3 linked regions of the Mus musculus genome follow. The protein of the gene in region 1 interacts with the protein of each later gene in a biochemical or structural test. Links are inferred from orthologs where the notes say so. Each region holds a gene or a part of one and is shown in the gene's direction. Other genes may lie near its edges.

Evidence for each region.
Region 2: the proteins of Angpt1 (region 1) and Tie1 interact in a biophysical measurement, tested with the Homo sapiens proteins (2 studies listed by BioGRID and IntAct, with this or other methods). The link is inferred for Mus musculus from reciprocal best matches to the Homo sapiens genes ANGPT1 and TIE1.
Region 3: the proteins of Angpt1 (region 1) and Tek form a complex in vitro, tested with the Homo sapiens proteins (6 studies listed by BioGRID and IntAct, with this or other methods). The link is inferred for Mus musculus from reciprocal best matches to the Homo sapiens genes ANGPT1 and TEK.

What each region holds. Positions count from the first base shown.
Region 1 is NC_000081.6:42,495,040-42,499,275, reverse strand, and holds part of Angpt1 (angiopoietin-1 isoform 1 precursor), read left to right. Parts: intron 1-2,816; coding exon 2,817-3,049; intron 3,050-4,236. UniProt on the Homo sapiens protein: Binds and activates TEK/TIE2 receptor by inducing its dimerization and tyrosine phosphorylation.
Region 2 is NC_000070.6:118,486,710-118,491,405, reverse strand, and holds the start of Tie1 (tyrosine-protein kinase receptor Tie-1 precursor), read left to right. Parts: upstream 1-1,556; 5' UTR 1,557-1,700; coding exon 1,701-1,758; intron 1,759-4,696. UniProt on the Homo sapiens protein: Transmembrane tyrosine-protein kinase that may modulate TEK/TIE2 activity and contribute to the regulation of angiogenesis.
Region 3 is NC_000070.6:94,737,673-94,742,428, forward strand, and holds the start of Tek (angiopoietin-1 receptor isoform 2 precursor), read left to right. Parts: upstream 1-1,616; 5' UTR 1,617-1,968; coding exon 1,969-2,020; intron 2,021-4,756. UniProt on the Homo sapiens protein: Tyrosine-protein kinase that acts as a cell-surface receptor for ANGPT1, ANGPT2 and ANGPT4 and regulates angiogenesis, endothelial cell survival, proliferation, migration, adhesion and cell spreading, reorganization of the actin cytoskeleton, but also maintenance of vascular quiescence.

The sequences.
Region 1 (4,236 bases):
AAAATGTATTATGTTGGAAACAATTTTCTTGTTGCTCATAATTTTTCTCTGAGGATTACTGTCTATAAAGAAAATCTTTTCTGAAGAAATACTACCATCTTATATTCTGCATAAATATTGGCATTTAGCAACTAATAAGTATGACTTATAACTAGAATCTGATATCGCCTGCTAATTAGGAAACCTGGAAGGTCAGCTCTGATTTTGCTTGTGGAAAATAACTGTTTATTTAGAGCTTTTGTACCACATCATATGACGCTTTAGCTTCCAAGTCATGAGCTATATATACACGATCCTCATTTTAATAGTTAATGCTAAAGGTTTCCTGGTGGTATACCGTAACTCATGTGAGTCTGAGGCACAGTTTCCTAATAAGTTAATGACTATAAATTGTGGGAGTCATGTATCTGATCACTATTCCAGAAATAGGAGCAAACATAACTAAAAAGTAGGCTAAAAATGAGCTGAAGTATCAGTTGTGGTTAACGCTCAGATCAAAAGCCAAAAATCTCCAAGCAGAGAGGAAGGCTCCTCTGTACCCACAGCAGTGAACTTGCCAGTTAACTACTAAGTGGATGGCATTTTTAACCACTATGAACAATAGAAACATTGACTGCCTTTGTCCCTCCACCCCTCTCTGTACCTTATTTTTGTTTTTTAACAATGAGTTTCTCTAGCAGCAACAAACTCTGGCACAGAAAAAAAGACACTTTATCATCTTAGCCCCTAGAAATATTTTCTTTCATCTCCCTCAACTTACTTGACTAACCTTTTCACTCCTAAACAGGGATTTAAACAAATAGAAATGACCCTCAGGATTTCAGCTACTTACTTTCCAAATTGAGTTCCCTGTATGCTCAGCAGAAGGTAGGGATTCTTCCTGTACAGGCGTGGAGTAAAAGAAAGGAAACTCAATGGAGTAAAAGAAAGGAAACTCAATGGACTAAAAGAAAGGAAACTCAATGGAGTAAAAGAAAGGAAACTCAATGGAGTAAAAGAAAGGAAACTCAATGGAGTAAAAGAAAGGAAACTCAATGGAGTAACAGAAAGGAAACTCAATGGAGTAAAAGAAAGGAAACTCAATGGAGTAAAAGAAAGGAAACTCAATGGAGTAAAAGAAAGGAAACTCAATGGAGTAAAAGAAAGGAAACTCAATGGAGTAAAAGAAAGGAAACTCAATGGAGTAACAGAAAGGAAACTCAATGGAGTAAAAGAAAGGAAACTCAATGGAGTAACAGAAAGGAAACTCAATGGAGTAAAAGAAAGGAAACTCAAGAGAGAAAAATGGCTTGTTTTTTTTTGGGGGGGGGTGGGGGGCGAAGTATCAATGTGAAAATTTCATTTGTCAATCTTGGCACACTCTCAAAAATTCTGTGAGTTAGGCAGGACTCACACATAGACCCAGCTTCCCAGCAGCTGTTCTGCTATATCCTGGGCCACCTTCTTCTTAGGAGAGCAAATTTGTTAGCAGAGACCTGGAATCCCCTTGAGCATTTCTTGCCACACTTCTTCATCTGTGCAAAAGCCAATCAGATGTTGCATCTTGCCCCTTAGCACAAACAGTTGGAAAGTTTGACTCTTCAAACACACTAGATTGTATAATTTAAGTATTAAATTTAAAATACTCCCCAGTGTCTTCTTTTTGAAGACTTATAGGAGTGATTCAGCTCTATATTTCTCCAAGGTAAATTAAGTGCCCATTCTGGGTGTGCTGCATTGGAATAGCACCTTGTAAACTAAGATCTGCTAGAATGGCCTGAAAACAGAACTAAGAAAACTGCGTAAGCCTTTTCCCTGAAGAATACTAGTATATTAGACACTCTATAAAGTGAAAAAATGCTTTTTATTTTAAGTCAGTTCCTCTGATCCAAAAGGGCTTCTGCGGTTTTGTAGGTTTTCCTGCACAGTATACAAGGAAAGTATCATTTAGAGAGTGTTGAGAGAAGCTTTGTAAGGTTGCGTCACTCTGGGCAAAGTACTCCATGTTTCCTGTAAGACTATGATATTCACCTAATGAGTTCTTCCTTACCCAAGACAACTGCATAGTGATTTCAGAGCCCATGATGCTCTTATCCAGAAGTCTGGTGTCACATGTAAAGCTAGGAGTTGTGATGATGCAGGCTAGATTTATTAAGAATTGGTTAATAAATAGTGAAGAACCTGCCTTAGTAGATTCTTATGTATATAAGCATTTCATTTGGTCCATATTTTGTCAGCATTTGATGATATTGTTGTAATTGTTTAATTATGTGTATACATGCACCATGTGCATGCATGGGCCAATAGAAGTTAGAAGAGGCATTCAGCCTTCTGGAAATGAAGTTGCAGGTTGAAATGCCATGTGGTTACTGAGCACAGAGCCTGAGTCCTCCAGAAGAGCAGTAAGTGCTCCGGGGCTCTGTTGCTATTCTCTTAATGATGACATTCTGCCCAGGGTGAAGTAGAATCTCAGGGGAGTTTTGATGTGTGTTTTTCAAATGGCTAATACTACATAGACTTTTGTCTCTTAAAAGAAATACTTTTATGAGCCAGCAGGACTGCTCAGGGCTTAGGGTCCTTTAATGCCAAGTCTGATGATTTGAGTTCTATCCTCAGATAGAGATAGGAAGGGACTGACTCCTATATGTCATTGTATGAAATCTGCATGCATCATGGCATGTCTGAGCACATGTGCATAGCTGTACATATATACACATGCACACAGACATATATACTTAATAATTAAAGCTTCTAATCTTACTCTTGGGAACAAGTAGAATTGCAGTATTGTCTCTCCAGCACTGTATGAATTATGTCTTATTTTCATTTCCTTGTAGTTTACTAGAGCACAAAATCTTAGAAATGGAGGGAAAACACAAAGAAGAATTGGACACCTTGAAGGAGGAGAAAGAAAACCTTCAAGGCTTGGTTTCTCGTCAGACATTCATCATCCAGGAGTTGGAGAAGCAACTTAGTAGAGCTACCAACAACAACAGCATCCTGCAGAAGCAACAACTGGAGCTCATGGACACAGTTCATAACCTTATCAGCCTTTGCACTAAAGAAGGTGGTAAGAGTTCTTTCCTTCTGGCTTTGGAAATATTTTCTTTCATGCAGGAGAGTAGATTTTTGCTACTATGTCCTCTGCAGCTTCAATGCCAGTGCAAAAATCTGTGGACAGACATTATTTTGAAAAGCATTTATAAGATTTAGTTGACAATTTTCACAGCTCTCTAAGTTCAGAACATTTATTTTTAAGTTTTTGGATCTGCAATTTCATTCTAAAAGAAATTTTAGAATTTGTCTTTCATTCTTGATATTTTGTAACCTTGATAAAATCTCTCATACTGTCATTGTTATATATTTGACATTACAATGTAACTTATGTCTAGGACATAAATTAAGGAACACTTAGAATTAGTTCAGACTTCTGGGGTAACCTGGGGTATTTCTGGTTTCATAATTAATTTTAATTGCTTCCATTTTCAGGAGACAGGAGAGGGGACTTTATTACAAGTAGAAAAATGGTGAAAGAGATAGTCCACAATAGTTATTATCATAAGAAAAGATGGTTCTAAAGTATCCATTAAGATCCCTTGTTCTTGGTTTTATGCAGAGATATAACAGAGATATCTAAGCACTTTTGGGATGTGTTTGTCATGATGGAACTTACAATTCTCTATGACTTGAATACCTGGAACCGTATAACCACACAGCTTGTCAATATGTCCATGCATTATTTTTCTTTATTGTGTGTGGGGCTGCTGCAAGTGTGAATATGTGCATATGTGTGCCATAATGTGCATGTGTAGATCAGGGGCCAACTTCATGGACTTTCTTCTCTGCTTGCACATTTATATGGGTGCTGGAAAGCAAATTTATGTCACCAGACTCATGCAGCAAATTCCTTTTCCTTCTGAACATCCCTCCCCATTCTCACCCAGTCATTCTTGAAGAAATGCCATTTTATACATATACAGTTTAAGCAGACCCATGACCTGCAGTATGAGGCTTTAAAGTTCAGAGCATGTGATCATCTTGTGCAGTTTCACATTGCCATTGGTCTTTCTGCATGGAGATGGGCCAGTAAGTGGGGAGGAGCAAGAGAGCTGCTTACATCTGAAACTGATTGCAGTCATTGAGCTGTGGCTTATGTGACCACTCACATCACGGTTCAGTGTGAGTGTGCAATGAACGCATGTGGCAGATGCTTGCTCCAAAAGAAAAATAAAAAACTTTGTTCAGTACTTTCATGTA
Region 2 (4,696 bases), on another chromosome or scaffold:
GCCGTAGTGGCTATGGATTCCAGAAGATTGAATCTCCGAGTTAAGGAACACACCTTTAATCTGGGCTATGCCTTTCATCTGGGATTAAAGGTGTGGTGGAACACACCTTTAATCCGGGCTACACCTTTTGCTGGAGACAATATAAGGACATTGGAAGAAGGGAGTCTAGCTCTTGCTCTTGTTCCTTTGCCTGCTTGCTGCGTGAGACTGAGTAACTGCTAGATCCTTGGACTTCCATTCACAGCTGCGACTGAATCATTGTTGGGAATTGGGCTGCCAACTGTAAGTCATCAATAAATTCCTTTACTATCTAGAGACTGTCCGTAAGTTCTGTGACTCTAGAGAACCCTGACTAATACACCAAGTTTCCTGATTTAAAAGACGCTGAAGCAGTTCAGAAATTCTTCCTTGAAGAGACACAGCTTGGTGAAGGGTTATTAGCACAAGGTGACTACGAGAAGGGTGTGGACCACCTGACAAATGCCATTGCTGCCTCCGCAGCTGCTGCAAGTGTTCCAGCAGACTCTTCCACCACCAGTGTTCCAGATGCTCCTGACCAAGCTTCCGACCGTTAGTCAGAGAACTGTAAGTGCTCAGAGCCTGGCTGACAATGATCTGGAATGAACCAGATAACAACATAATAAAATCTCAGTAAAATAATTTAACAGTTAGCTTGGAAGCTGGTCAGCTCTGGGGAAATCAGGGTAAATTGTGCTGTCATGAACTGTCCCACACTGACATCGGCCAAAGTGAATATGAACTTTGGTAGATCCAATGCCTGTTCTATTTATTTTTCCAGTGAAAAGTATTTTGATAGAGCTTTTCATTTTGTAAATACACTGAGTTAACCAAAATATCATGGATTTCCGTTTGTTCTTAAGACATGCAACTCGTCTACGGCTATACCACTCTGAACGCGCCCGATCTCGGAAGACATGCAACTCAAATGTAAATACAGTAGAATATTACTTAGGTAGAAACTCCTGGTGATTTTAAAAGATTGGAAAAGAATATGAGGAAGAGTTGAATAATGCAAATTCTAGTGTGTGTGCTACCGAAGTGAACACTTAATGCACAGTCTACAGACTAGGACATTTTATCGTGTGTTGTAAAATTGGGTAGAAACTTGTGTTTGTGAAAACTGAGCATTAAAACCTTACAGAGACCGTTTCTTGTTTACTTTTGAAAAAAAAAAGAGTCACGTGAGCCTCATTTTGTATTTGTGTGTGTGTGTGTGTGTGTGTCTCCCCTCCTCCCAGCGTGTGTGTGCTGGGAGGAGGGGAGACCCCAGAACAATGTCCTGCCTCCAAACCTTCTCAATAGGCGGAAGCCACTGGCTTCCTCCCTTTCCTGTCTCCCGTGCTCCAGCAATGCAGATGGAAGGGACCGAAGGGATGGGAGAGAGAGCCCAACCATCCCCAGATCTGTCCTTGTCACAACCTGCCTCCCACCTCTAATGCCCCCCCTTCCAGAGACTTCCAGGCCACACCCATCCCGGGCTTGTGGGGGCTGGACACGGGAGGACTACAGGCGACAACTCTTCCCACCCTCTCTCCCTGCCACCCCTCCTACCCTAACCATCATTTCCTCTTCCTCCCCAGCACCGAGGTGCACTGAGCTGGACAGGCTGAACACTCAGACCCACAGCAACTGACCCCGGGCCCAGCTGGCCTTGGCTGGCCCAGGGCAGCTTCCAGAGTATGGTCTGGTGGGGATCCTCTTTGCTGCTCCCCACTCTTTTCTTGGCCTCTCATGTTGGTAAGTCTTCCCTGGAGTGAGCAGAGCTCCTCCCTGACTCTTGATTTCAAGGCCTTAATTCCAGCCCCCGACCCCCAAGAAACCCTAGCCTAGCCTAGCAATAGACCTCACAATATGGTGGTGAGCATGGGTTGGGGGAAGGGAAATAGAGAGTTATTGTTTAATGAGTGTAGCATTTCAGTTAGGGTGTGGTGGTGGACTTCTTTAATCCCAGCACTTGGAAGGCCAGCCTAGACTACACAGAGGACTCCATGTTAGCCCCATAAAGACTTATGGAGACCTTACGTCAAAAACAAAAACAAGAGCTGTGGAAATGGGTGGTGATGTTCACATGAGGTTATGAATGCATTTATTAACACTGAATTGACTGTTTACAAGTGGTTCTAACGGTAGATTCTAGGGTATGTGTATTTTAACACAACTTAAAAATTGCAGGGACAAGCAGAAACTGACATCATCATCATCATCGTCGTCGTCATAGCGTCATGACGATTTTGATCCACCAAGAATGAGGTCAGGGTGGGGAAAACTCAGGCAGGTGCTAGGAATCACTGCCTGGAGGGGGGAGAGGTGAGTAGGGGCAGAAGTCAGCCATCAACTTGGACCTCACGAGTAACTGTGTTGGGCTTAATCAATAATTCATTGGACAGACAAGCATGGTGGCTTTAACTCCAGTACTCAGGAGGCAAAAGCAGGTAGATCTCTGAGGTTCGAAGCCAGCCTGGTCTACATAGCAAGTCCCAGGACAGCCAGAACTACATAGAGAGACCCAGTCTCAAAATAATAACAATAATAATAATAATAAAATTTATTTAGCACCAATGATGTTCCATTAGTTGAGAATATGGCAACACCTAAACCTATCATATGACAACTAAATGATGCTGGGCTCCCAAAGGTTGATACGTTTGTTGTTTAAATGGAGCTGTGTGTACAGAGGGCATGGAGAAGCTTCTGAATGCTGGTGGCAGGTCCTTTCAGTCTGCTGACCAGAGAACTAGAAGTCAGAGGCTGCCTTTGAGTGGTTCTGTCTGGTGGGAAACACAGGCCAGGAATGAGGGCCAGACAGAAGCAGACATCAAGAGCTTTTGAGAAGCACTGAGAAGAGAGTCAGCTTACTCTGCCACAGGACCAGAAAAGTCATGAAGGGTTTCCCTAAGAGAGGTAGTCAACAGAGTAGCAAGTGCAAGCTTGGGAGGTATGGAAGCCCATAAGAAAAAACTGTAGGCCAGGCAGTGGTAGTGCACGCCTTTAATCCTAGCACTTGGGCAGCAAAGGCAGGCGGATTTCTGAGTTCAAGGCCAGCCTGGTCTACAGAGTGAGTTCCAGGACAGCCAAGGCTACACAGACAGGGCTATACAGAGAAACTCTGTCTCAAGAGAAAAAAAAAAGAAAAAAAAGAAAAAGAAAGAAAAGAAAAGAAAAGAAAAGAAAAGAAAGACGAGAAAAAGAAAAAAAGAAAAGAAAAAGAAAAACCTGCAGAAGTATGTGCCAGCAGACTGGAAGCTAAGGGAAGAGGAGCCTGGGCTTGGACAACCTGGCTCTGCTCCCTTCTAACTGTATGACCTTAGGCAAGTTTTGAGCTTTTGCTCCCTGGTTATAAAACCATCATCCTGGAAGAGGATAACACTCACCTCCCAGGACAGTGTGGTCCTGAAAGGACGAGAGCATCACTAAAGGGCCCCGGCACATAATTGACATCCAATAAACATTAATTATTATGACAGCAGGAACACAAGATGACTCTGAAGTTAGTGTCTCAGGTAATGGGTGTTATCCTTTGACTCAGAAAGCTTGGGAGAGGTGAGGGTGTAGCTTAGGAAACACAGATGCAAATGCATTGGGAGCTGAAAGGCCACACCAGAGCTACTGACTCAGGGGTGACAGTTAATGCCGAGGGAGTGGATGAATGTGCTCCGTAGTTATTACAGCAAAGGATGTCAACTTCACTGGAAGCCATGAGGATGCCAGGGAGAAAGGGCATTTGGTGCCCGCGAGGTGGCCAAGAGATGCCAGCTTCTTTGGCTTACGATAGACCGTCAAAAATATGCTAAGTGGCATTTAAATGAATTGATGACCTGACAGCTAACAGGCAGGGAAGGGCCAGGGAAGGAGGGGCCTTGGAAGGTCTGGGGTCACAGGTCTGAAGCAGGCTGATCACATTCTTCTCCTCGGTCTTGCCCACTTCAGGGTACAGATTTTACGCTCCAGTTGCACTAGCCCGGGGCAGCTCCCCTCCCCACACTACAACATTTCTCATACTTGAGCGTAGGGTGGCCTCTCCCTACGCCTGACCTTTCGTTCCTCCTCACCCAAGCACCTTCTAATGAAGTTTGTTATCTGCATCTTTTCCTGTCCCCTTTCCTTCCCCCGCCCCCCTGCTGGTTAGATGTTCCTCCCTCTGAGCCAACACCTCCATCTGGGAGGGATGCCTGTGTCTGGTCCTCCAGCTTCCCAAGGTAGGGCCCAGACCCACCTGTGTCTGTGTCTCTCTGGCCCTAACCGATCTTCAATCCCAGCCAGTCAAATAGTCCTCAATTAGTTAAGCAAGAAAGAGGGTGTGCGTCCTCATGACACTCCAGTCTCAGCGACTCTTCTAACCTGCACCTCCATGATGGGGCAGGGACAGGTGGCTCAGGGATAGCCTTGGTGGGAATGGTTCACACAGGAGTCAGGGCAATGACCTGACACGGACAGAGTAAGGGAAGGAGACAGAAGCGTAGCTCATTCCCTGTCTGGACCAGAGAAGGATGTGTGCTTTTGTTTATGTTTTAGGACGAAGAGGCTTGCAGGTAAAGAGCGAGCACATGTGTAAGGGAAGGGAATGGGCGGAAATCTTTGAAAAAGTGAAGTCTTCTAAGGACACAGTGAAATATTAACACAAGTTACTGTTGGAGTCCCGGGCTCCTGGGGCTGCTGAGCTGGCAGGATCCACCAT
Region 3 (4,756 bases), on another chromosome or scaffold:
ATGTTTGCACCACTCCTGGCTTCATAGTGTTTTTAAAACACCCATGGAGAGTCGGGTGTGAAGATCCACACGTCTAACCTCAGCATCTGGTGAATCAAGGCAGGAGGGCGGGTGGTTGCAGGCTGGCTATAATATCTAAGTTTCAGTTAGTAAGGGCTGCATAATGAAACACTGTCTTAAACACAAAACCAAAACCCATGAAGGAGATACTATTGCCATTTAAAAGTCTCTGGAATGGAAATAGCTATCATAATCTTACCTCTGAGCCAGTGTCTGCCCTCAGGTGTGCCTGAGGACTGAACAGGGCTATGCACTCCTCAGGTTGGAAACATTACTAGTCCTCAGTGTCTGCTCTTGACCTGTTAACAGCTGAGTCAGGGTCTGCCCTCAGCTGTGCCTGAGGACAGAGCTGAGCTATCTACCCCTGCAGATTGGAAGCATTACAGGCACTCAAGATCAGCCCTGAAGTGATAAAACCTAAGGCAGAAATCCACCAAGACTAGCAGTGCCTCCGTGTCTCTTCCTGTGGCTGGTGGGAAAGGGAGGGGCAGTCCTTCCTTGATGCAAGGTCGTGTGTCTAGTGGCATGCTTGCTTCATTCCCAGTGAGAGCAAGTGATCACCTGGGTAAGGAAGGTTCAGGTGCCTGAGCTTGCTGGAGAATTCATCACTCATCCATCACTCTGCTCCTGTAGACATAATCACTTCTGTTGGGTCTTTATAGAGATGATTTATAACTTTGTTGTTTATAGTTTTTATGAATGTGTGTATTCATTTAGGTCACATGGGAGGTGCACATTTTCAGGTGTCTGTCTTTCCATCACACGGGCTTTGAATTAAACTCAGTCTTGGTTTTACCGGCTGAGCCATCTCACCTGCCTGATTATTTAAAAATCTCCGGAGTAATCCAAGAGTGTGGTTTATGATTGTAGTATCAACACTCGGGAGGCTGAGGGAGCATCGTTATCATGAGCTCCAGGCTAGTTCCAGGCTTGCCTAAGCTGTAGAGCAAGTCACTCTCTTAAAAAGTGCCTCTCCCATATTTTTGTATATAATTTGCATCTGAAATTCTGTTTGCCAATAACTATGAAATTATTCACATTACTAAAATCTTCCTGTGCCAAGTTCTCCAACGAATTAGATCACACTCAGATGAAATGCTAATAAAAATTAAAGCTGTAGCCAGTAGCATGCGTATATTTGGGCTCAGGGCCAACAGGCAGGCGATCTGGGTGTAAGAAAATAGGCTAATGGCTGTGGAATCTGGTCTCTAGTGGCTCCGCTGAGAGCTGACCTCAACCACGCTCCCTCAAATTGATTGCCTTCCAGGTTATGATTTCTCATCACAGGAAACTTTGTTGCCCAATTCAAACCCTGTGAGTGAAAACAAAAACAGGAGAGCAAGTGCTGCTCCCCGTGCCCCAAAGCCCCTTCTGTCAGGGATCCCAAATGCACCCCAGAGAACAGCTTAGCCTGCAAGGGCTGGTCCTCATCGCATACCATACATAGGTGGAGGGCTTGTTATTCAATTCCTGGCCTATGAGAGGATACCCCTATTGTTCCTGAAAATGCTGACCAGGACCTTACTTGTAACAAAGATCCCTCTGCCCCACAATCCAGTTAAGGCAGGAGCAGGAGCCGGAGCAGGAGCAGAAGATAAGCCTTGGATGAAGGGCAAGATGGATAGGGCTCGCTCTGCCCCAAGCCCTGCTGATACCAAGTGCCTTTAAGATACAGCCTTTCCCATCCTAATCTGCAAAGGAAACAGGAAAAAGGAACTTAACCCTCCCTGTGCTCAGACAGAAATGAGACTGTTACCGCCTGCTTCTGTGGTGTTTCTCCTTGCCGCCAACTTGTAAACAAGAGCGAGTGGACCATGCGAGCGGGAAGTCGCAAAGTTGTGAGTTGTTGAAAGCTTCCCAGGGACTCATGCTCATCTGTGGACGCTGGATGGGGAGATCTGGGGAAGTATGGACTCTTTAGCCGGCTTAGTTCTCTGTGGAGTCAGCTTGCTCCTTTATGGTAAGTTTTGGCTTGATGTTTATTTGTGTGTGTGTGTCATGTTTTAACAACAGTGACTTCTCGCCATTCTCTCTCTCACCAAACCTTCGATTTGGTGACCCTGACACTGCTTTTCTGAGACTCTCCAGTTTACACATGGCAACGGTTTTGAAGTTCAGATTCCAGCGGCACCAGCTGGGTTTTCTAGCCATCTCTTGTAGACAGATGCTGCCTCCTGGGTTGCACGGTCTCTCCCAGGACTGAGTAAGTCACCTTATTTGAAGGGATCTGGTTTTTTTTTTTGTTTGTTTGTTTTTTGTTTTTTGTTTTGTTTTGTTTTTTTTTTTGGAGTATTCTTTCTTGCCTCTCATTCTGGTGTTTTCTTATCCATAACAACAAATTTGGGTTGTAATCACTTTAAAGAAAGACTTCAATGATTTTTTTTTTTTTTTTTGGTAGAAACAAAATTCTTACCTAGCCATGTACAAAAACGTCATTGTTAACTAAAAACAAGACCACTTTTCTGTAAAGATTGTGTATCTCCATGCTTTTTAATTTCAGTAGTCCAGTTAAGGGCTTTTCGTCTTTTAGGTAGGGGTCCAGGAGTTAGGGCTATGCCACTGACTTTAATTTTTTGATGTTTCACATAAAGATTAGCCCTAGCAAGCTAACTAAAATGTAGTCAATTACCAAGCTCACCGGATTCAGTATTTTGCCAAGTCCTGTAGTGGCACCTCTAGAGAGGGCAGCCAGGATGAGCTTGGGTTCTGTATGTGTATCACAGGCTCTACACAGTGGGGTGCCTTGTAACTCACTCAGCATAGGTAAACCATGCTAGGAGAAACATGGGGACCCAAACTGCAGATCACAGACACATTATCATTGCCATAGGATTCCCCGAATTGGTTTGGAAGTATTCTAATTATTATGATAAAAATGTAATTGACACAGGAGATGAATTTGGGAAAATTTATCAAACTTAATGGTGAGGCTATATATAGTATAGCATTTGATACAAAGAAATACTTTTGATGTTACTTTTATATTTTTCTATATGTTTAAATATTTTGTTAAGTATTCAAAAAAATTTAACCCAGTAAAGTATGATAATTGTGTGCAATTTCTCATGTAACTTTTCAATTTGATTTCAACAACCAACATATCAGAAATTTAATAATATTTAAGAGTAATGTAAATTGCTGAAAGAGTATCTAAGATGGTGCCAATTACTTATGTAGTAACTTACTTATAATTAACATAACAGCATAATATATTGCTGTAAATTTGGATTCGTCTTTATATTAATGTAGAGACAGGTTGATGTCTTTGTTACTATGTACTTTTAAATAATAATTATGGTTCCTCACTTTCATCTTGCTTTCCACAAGTCACACTGATCAGCGTTATAGAATATGGGACTGATTTTACACCAGAGACTATAATAATACAAAGTCCAAGTATCTAGTTCTGCTCTGACTTAGTTTTAAGTTAAATAAACTAATAGTATGTTCACATACGTATGTGCACGCACACATACACAGAACTATTTTAACTTAGTCTTTCTCCTTAAGTGACTTTTTTATGGCATTTTACAAATAAGTTTAGAAAAGTTGTCATGAATTCATACAAAAAAGTTCTGTTCCAAAACAGTTGTCTCACTGATGCTAGAAACTGATTTCTGGAGCGAAGATGACAAGAAGGAGGAGGTCATGTTCTTGTCAGAAAGTAGAACACAGAAAGCTTGGTTTCTGCTGAAGGTCTCTGTTAATTCCTGACTTTCATTCTGTACCCAAGCTTCCATGAACTTGAGTGAGGCTTGGTGATCACACAAACAGCCTCAGGAGTTCTTCCTTCAAGTCAGACTCTAATAGTGTACTTCATTAATGTGGAAGGGGATATAGAGCTTATATGTCTAGTCTACTTGGTGGCCTGATATTCCTTTTTTGTTGAACAAACATAATGGAAGAATAAAGACTCTGTATTTGCCTCAATAAAGGTTGCTCTGGGTAGCAAAGCAGCCTGCTAAGGCATAAACTGGAAGAGGTTTGTGGCTTCCATAACAACTCAGATTCTGGCGCTTGCTCCTTCCACTGGAGTATTATTGCCAATTTCAGCTTGCAAACAAGTTCTCATAGAACTTAGCAGTGTTACCCCCTCTTTAATTCCATATCTACACCAAACCTGGCTGCAGGCTCTAAAGAATTGTGTACACTTAAAAAAAAAAAAAACACCACTTCTGTTTCATCATGGATGTCCTATATGATTCACACTGATAGGAAGTCTTCAGGTCACACATCTTCAGCTGTCTTTCCTGTCTTGTGTGACATTTTAAACAACTGGATTCAGAGATAACAGAGATGTTGTCTGGGCTGGCAAAGGAAACGCAATAGTAAGGTCAGGAAAGTGGTCCCAGGAGCCTTCTCCTTGGACTGGGATCAGGACACCTCTTGGGATTGTTTTCCAAGGGAAGATCTGGCCTTCTACAGAAACTCTCCCTTCCAACCATTGCTCTTGTTAGCACTTCCCCCTTAGCCCTACCCTGAAAGAACTTCCAGGAAGAGTCTAATTTTTCTATGACATCTCTCCAGGAGGAAAGAAATTATCCAAGTCGATCTCAAAAGACTATGCTGTGTCCTTTTAGAACTTTCCTAATGCTGTGACCCTTTAATACAGTTCTTCATGGTGTGGTGAGCCCCAGCCATAAAATTATTTTCATTGCTACTTCATAACTATAATTTTGCTACTGTTGTGAATCAT